2 linked regions of the Ovis aries genome follow. The protein of the gene in region 2 binds, or shares a complex with, the protein of the main gene of each other region. Links are inferred from orthologs where the notes say so. Each region holds a gene or a part of one and is shown on either strand. Other genes may lie near its edges. The genes, in order: TRIB1 and COP1.

The links.
Region 1: the proteins of COP1 (region 2) and TRIB1 are in contact, whole or in part, in a crystal structure (PDB 5IGQ), measured with the Homo sapiens proteins. The link is inferred for Ovis aries from reciprocal best matches to the Homo sapiens genes COP1 and TRIB1. Residues at the interface, in NP_071902.2 of Homo sapiens: Ile423, Ser425, Val441, Lys472, Tyr491, Trp517, Asp534, Ala556, Asn557, Cys559, Ala576, Asp577, His578, Lys600, Ala601, Ser603, Thr618, Lys643, Asn644, Phe645, Phe699; in NP_079471.1 of Homo sapiens: Asp355, Gln356, Ile357, Val358, Pro359, Glu360, Tyr361.

What each region holds. Positions count from the first base shown.
Region 1 is NC_056062.1:27,809,424-27,812,808, forward strand, and holds the end of TRIB1 (tribbles homolog 1), read right to left. Parts: intron 3,050-3,385; coding exon 2,584-3,049; 3' UTR 719-2,583; downstream 1-718. UniProt on the Homo sapiens protein: Adapter protein involved in protein degradation by interacting with COP1 ubiquitin ligase. The COP1-binding motif is masked by autoinhibitory interactions with the protein kinase domain.
Region 2 is NC_056065.1:56,630,423-56,634,246, reverse strand, and holds part of COP1 (E3 ubiquitin-protein ligase COP1), read left to right. Parts: intron 1-1,093; coding exon 1,094-1,202; intron 1,203-2,084; coding exon 2,085-2,166; intron 2,167-3,824. UniProt on the Homo sapiens protein: E3 ubiquitin-protein ligase that mediates ubiquitination and subsequent proteasomal degradation of target proteins.

The sequences.
Region 1 (3,385 bases), on a different chromosome or scaffold from region 2:
AATTCAGAGCCACCCACTCCTGTGTTTTCTGTATGTGTTACACTTTACAAACTTTTAAAAAATCACTCTGGATGCCAACTGACTTCATTTAGATTTTGTTGTCATAGTGAAGTTTTATACCTAATCAATTCCAATTTCTGTATTTGTGATTCAAAATAATGTTGCTTTTAGCTTTCCTATTAGTTCCACTTTTACATTTACAGAAAGAAAAAAAAAAGGCCTCAACTAATTTAATTAAGTCTAATGGGGGAGGAAAGGGTGGAGTTGGGCTCTCAACAGGAGGCCTGGTGATACCTTCAGGGATGGATGTGGACCTCTGAAATTACAAGTTGGATACACATGGATGTTTTTCTGAGAAGCGTCCATAGTTTTCATCAAATTCTCAAGGGTCTGTGAAAGACCATAAGCCAGAGGGATTCTTACAACTCAAGACTTTTTCATCTATGTGCCTCCTCAAATGTTTCTCAACTCTTAAATTCAACTCAGCCCTCATCAGCCTGATTCACCAAATTGGTCTCACCCATCAAAATGAATTTGTCTACTTCAATGGAAAAAGTGAATGGGTTCAGCTTTGTCAAAGGTCATATATAATCATCAGCTGTTTACTTCTTCATCTCCCCATTGAGATTCCAGGCCCGAAGCCAGCGACCTTTGCATCCACAGCATGAAACTACACCAGGTAACGGGGGACTGGACTCCAAAGAAGTCACTGCACCTATTTACGAAACCAGATTTATTAAAATCTCTCTACAAGTCGGAAATGGCCGTCTCAACATATATACACATGTACAGGAAGGGTCTAGTGTTTCCAAGCCCCAGCAAACCCAGAGTCCTTAGCCGGGTCATGTATCACAGATACAACATTCAAGCAACCACGAGAGCGTTAGTGCGACAGAGGTCTCTGTCCTCCTTCTCCAAGTCCCATGATTCTGTCAAGGTAATATTGCCAATGATCATTCACATTTCACGTGGTCTTAGACACGCAGGTTATTCAGACAGACACAGACGACGAACAAGTGTCAGAGTGAAAACGACAACGAATGTAGAAAAGGTACATTGTATGTACAGAGCACACAGTACGTGAGGTATACACGGTATTCTCACAATGCATGTTAGTAGTTTGCCTAAGGCGTAGCCCTTAAAGGTGACTGCCTGCTTTTGTGCCATTTCTCAGAATACAGTATGTTTGGTTTACCCGTTTAACCACCGGATTTCAGTACTGTCTGAGACATTTACTGATATTTCATCTGTTTTTTTAATGCAAGTGGCAGTTTCTAAGTTCTATCTTCCGTAGGTAGTGAGTTCCCATCTCTGGAAGCATTCAAACAGAGGTTGGAGTCCCACCTGTGAAAGAATTTGGGGGGTATGGTGGGGTATGGGGATTTCTACATTGGGAGGTGGTAGAGAAAGGAAAGAAGTTGGACTAGATGCCTTTTAAAGTCCCTTCCGACCTTAAAGATTTGGGGCTTGCTATTTCACTCCACATACCGACGAAACAGATGCATTCATAAACCACACCACAGATGAAATATTAACAACCTGTCATGCAAAACTGCAGACCAGACCCATGGGGGTGGTTAAAGACTAATTCTGGAAGTTAGTCTGAGAGCCGTCTAAGACTATCCAAAATTTACTTTCTCTGAAGCACAAAAACTTGCTCTTGGGAGAGAGGAATCTTTTCTTTCTTCTCCTAGACAAAATGCTCCACCCTGAGATGGTCTTGGGGGAAAAAAGGAAAGGATAAATGCGAACATATTTGAGGGGAACCAAAACAGCTAATGGTTTCCAAGTGCTCAAATTCTTTTTAAAAGTCTCCAGTCTCTCTGTCTGAGCTCAGAGTTCTGAAACAGCCAGGAGCTTGAATCTTTTGTGATACTCTTCCACCATTAGCTGGTAAGTGCTTTTATAGTGAAAGAGGAAGGGGCTCATTTCAAGGTCAGAAAGAAGGCTTTAGTGCAAATGGGGTCTTGGCAGGACACAGAGGAGAGATGATTCTGGGTTCATGATTCAGGCAAGCTTCTACGCCCCTGAAAACAGTCTGCTCCAAAAACATGAAGAAAGGGCGAGTGTTAAACCAAACCAGGAAAAAACAATTTTCCAATCAGAGAAGCTGGGGGTAGCAAAAGCCTGGCTACCAAGGACCAGTTTGAAGATGGCAGGTTTATTGGCCCAGGTAATCTGTCACCCTGTTAAAAATATAGTTATTGCCCAAAATGCCATTGTGTGATTCATTTCCTCTCCCTTTAGAGTGTTCAAGTTCATTTCACTCCATCACACGCTGCAGGATATTTATACTCCGTGCCACCCAGAAAAGAGGTGGAACCCCCCAAAATCCAACAAAGGGATAGTTGGCGAAGGTTCACTGAGGAAAACAACTCTGTAGGGCAGCCAATCAGAGTGTACGCTGCTCACCTCCTCAGTCACGCATCCAGAAGATGAGAAAGAAGGGGCGCCATGCTGAATTCAGCACCCACAGTCTCCACGCCATCACCTGTCTGTTTGGCCTCACGCCGAAAGGCCTGTCCATCTTTAGAAATGGAAAATGCCATGTGTGAGAATTATGAGGTTTCTGAGGTTTGGGGATTAGCAGAAGAAGGAACTGATGTCACTGTCCTCCTGGTACTCTGGAACAATCTGGTCGGAAGTTCCTACTTCTGAGTCGACGTACCCAGGTTCCAAGACAGACTCAAACCAGGGATGGAGTAAGATCTCTGGGGCAGTGAGTCTCTCCGAAGGCTCCCGTCTCAGGAGGCTGCGAATGAGGCACCTGGCTTTGGGAGAAATGTGGTCAGGAATGCAGAACTGTCCACGTCGGATTTTGGAGAAAAGGGCACTGGGGTCTGAGTCATGGAAGGGGTAGCGCCCCACCAAAAGGGTGTAGAGCATAACCCCAAGGCTCCAAACGTCCGCTGCCTTTCCGGAGTAGGTCCCCGTGGTGTTCAGAATCTCAGGGCTCACATAGGCTGGGCAGCCGTGTTTGTCTGACAAAGCATCATCTTCTCCCTTGATTATGTGTGTATCTTCAAGACTTTCCAGTCTGAGCTGGGTTCTGTAGAAGACATGAAACAAGCCATTACTTCCAGATCCAGCTGCTATGAAAAACAAGGCCTTCCTTCCCAATAATAGGGCCCACAGGCACTCAACGCAAAGGCCCAAGGAATGCCAGTTACCCCTTCATCCAGTAAGCACTGCCTTGCAACCTACCCAGGAAGACTCCAGATTTCACAAACCAATACAAACTGCAATAAAAATTAGCAAACTATTGAGAGAGCACCTGGGGTGGAGGGTATGATGCAAAGCCCCAAATACTATTCATGATGCTAGAGCTTAGAAGAAATATCCTAATAGAGGTTACACAATCTACTAAGTGCACGTTGCAGCAGTG
Region 2 (3,824 bases):
ATCTCCACCTACAGACATGTATTCCTCATGTGTCTCCGCCATGACATACGTGTGTCCCCCCGGCCTCTATTATCTCCACCTCCAGACATGCATTCCTCATGTGTCTCCGCCATGACATACACGTGCCCCCCCGGCCTCTATTATCTCCACCTACAGACATGTATTCCTCATGTGTCTCTGCCATGACATATGTGTGTCCCCCCCAGCCTCTGTTATCTCCACCTACAGACATGTATTCCTCATGTGTCTCTGCCATGACATACGCGTGCCCCCCCAGCCTCTATTATCTCCACCTACAGACATGTATTCCTCATGTGTCTCTGCCATGACATATGTGTGTCCCCCCGGCCCCTGTATCTCCACCTACAGACATGTATTCCTCATGTGTCTCTGCCATGACATATGTGTGTCCCCCTGGCCCCTGTATCTCCACCTACAGACATGTATTCCTCATGTGTCTCTGCCGTGACATACGCGTGCCCCCCCAGCCTCTATTATCTCCACCTACAGACATGTATTCCTCATGTGTCTCCACCATGACATATGTGTGTCCCCCCGGCCCCTGTATCTCTACCTACAGACATGTATTCATCATGTGTCTCTGCCATGACATACGCGTGCCCCCCCAGCCTCTATTATCTCCACCTACAGACATGTATTCCTCATGTGTCTCCACCATGACATATGTGTGCCCCCCTGGCCTCTGTTATCTCTACCTACAGACATGTATTCCTCATGTGTCTCTGCCATGACATACGTGTGCCCCCCTGGCCTCTGTTATCTCCACCTACAGACATGTATTTTCATGTGTCAAGGATGGCCAGTAGCAACTTTAGGCACACCATATCTGTCTTCTAGCTGGTGATGAGAGTGAAGAGTGGTTATGGTTTGTGACTTGGTAGTTTCAATTGAATACTCTGGGAATTATTTGATGCCTTCTTCCTTGATGGATTGTGGGCAAAATAATTATTGTGAACTTATGTAGACCATTTTGAAAGGGTTCTAATCTTTTTGAACACGTCCAAATTCTTTGTATCCATTGCTATTTATTTTTATGTAAAATAAGGCTTAACTTAATATCCCTTTCTTTCAGCTGTATCAGTTGGAGTAGTTATCATAAGAACCTATTAGCCAGCAGTGATTATGAAGGCACCGTCATCCTATGGGATGGATTCACAGGACAGAGGTCAAAGGTCTATCAGGTAAATAAGAATACTAGTTACCTGTGGTTGTTGTTACTATTCAGTCGCTCAGTCGTGTCCAACTCTTTGCGATCCCATGGACTGCAGCACACCAGATTCCCTGTCCATCACTATCTCCAGAGTTTGTTCAAACTCATGTCCATTGAGTCGATGATGCCATCTGACAATCTTATCTTCTGTCATCCCGTTTGCCTTTTGCCCTCAATCTTTCCCAGCATCAGAGTCTTTTCCAGTGAGTCAGCTCTTTGCATCAGGTAGCCAAAATATTGGAGCTTGTTGCAAGAATCACATTTGTACTTTTTAATAATTATAGAGCTTCATGCATTTTATAATTACAAATTTAAAATCATTGTTTAGCATTTCCTCAGTTCCTCAGTTCAAATGGCAACCCACTACAGTATTCTTGCCTGGGGAATCCCAGGGACGGGGGAGCCTGGTGGGCTGCCGTCAGTGGGGTCGCACAGAGTCTGACACAACTGAAGTAACTTAGCAGCAGCAGCAGCAGCAGTTCCTCAGGTCAGCCGCTCATTTATATCTGACACTTTGCGACCCCATGGACTGCAGCACCCCAGGCTTCCCTGTCCATCACCAACTCCCAGAGCTTGCTCAAACTCATGTCCATCGAGTCAGGGATGCCATCCAACCGTCTACCTATGTAATTCCAGTAATGCTCTTTGCATTTGTAGGATGAATTTCCAAAAGTGGTAATTTTATAAATGTATATTTAAAAAGTTTATGGAGCTACTTTGCATCTCCTTTATTTTCATAGCCAGTTCTTTCTCCCTCCCACCATAGTGATAAATTGGTATCAGCTATGTTTATTTGTTTTGCTTTATTTAAGATCTATATTCTGAGACTACTTTGTCTTCCTTCTACATCTAGGAACATGAGAAGAGATGTTGGAGTGTTGACTTTAATTTGATGGATCCTAAACTCTTGGCTTCAGGTTCTGATGATGCAAAAGGTACTATTTGGGTCTCCCCCCCGAATTAATTCCTTTTAAAACCTAACAGAAATACACATATTTATTGAAACCCATAGTGATCCTTTGCGATTACTGATTATTCTAAAAATAGTCTAATAAGCACAAAAATCTTTATTTCTTGGAGTGAAAGAAAAATGAATATTCTGCATCTTCATTATAATAATTTTTTCTGAATTCATGCCTGTGATGTATTTATAACCAGTTCCTGTACATATACTGTGAAATGAACTTTTTTGTTGAAATATTTAGACATCACTGTATTCTGAATTGTATTAAATTCTGAGTGTATACCAAAATCTTTGAATGAAGTAAATCATGTTTCAAGGCAGAAATTCTATATTTCTTTCTGCCAATTTCATTGATCTTTCTATTTTTGTGTATGTGTGTGTGTGTGGTGTGTGTATCTGTCTTTACTGTTTGTTCTTTCCCGTTACTGTCTTCTTTTGGCCTGTTTTTTCTCAAGATTAGATTTATAAAGCCCTGTTAACAGATTTCTTTTATCTTGGCCCTCTCCTTCCTTTCCATCTGTAACTTGCAGACTAGTGAATAGATAGGCAGGGGTAGCTCTAGCGTTGGAAACTTTATTTCACAATGATTGTTGTTGTTGTTCAGTCTCTCAGTTGTGTCCGACCCTTTGCGACCCCTTGGCCTGCAGCACACGAGGCTTCCCTATGCTTCACCATCTCCTGGAGCTTGCCCAAACTCATGTCCATTGGGTTGGTGATGCCATCCAACCATCTCATTCTCAGTTGTCCCCTTCTCCTCCTGCCTTCAATCTTGCCCAGTAATCAGGGTCTTATCTAATGAGTCGGCTCTTCACATCATGTGGCCCAAGTACTGGAGCTTCAGCTTCAGCATGAGTCCTTCCATTGAATATTCAGGACTGATTTCCTTTAAGATTGACTAGTTTGATCTTGCAGCCCAAGAGACTCCCAGGAGTCTTCTCCAACACCACATTTCAAAAGCATCAATTCTTCAGCTCTGCTTTCTTTATGGTCCAACTCTCACATCCATACATGACTACTGGAAAAACCATAGCTTTTACTAGACAGACCTTTGTTGGCAAAGTAATCTCTCTGCTTTTTAATATGCTTTCTATGTTTGTCATAGCTTTTCTTTTAGGGAGCAAGGGTCTTTTAATTTCATGGCTGCAGTCACCATCTGCAGTGATTTGGGGGTCTGAGAAAATAAAAATCTGTCACTGTTTGCATTGTTTACCCATCTGTGACTGGATGCCATGATCTTTGTTTTGGGAGTGTTGAGTTTTAAGTCAGCTTTTTCACTCTCTTGTTTCACCTTCTTTAGTTCCTCTTCGCTTTCTGCCATAAGGATGGTGTCATCTGCATATCTGAGGTTATTGGTATTTCTCCCCGCAATCTTGATTCCAGCTTGTGCTTCATCAAACCCAGCATTTCACATGATGTATTCTGCATGTAAGTTAAATAAGTAGAGTGACAGTCTACAGCCTTGACGTACTCCTTTCCCAGTTTGGAACCAGTCCTTTGTTCTATGTCCGGTTTTAACTGTTGCTTCTTGACCTGCATACAGGTTTTTCAGAAGGCAGATGAGACGGTCTGGTAGTCCCATCTCTTTAAGAATTTTCCATGGTTTGTTCTGATCTACACAATCAAAGGCTT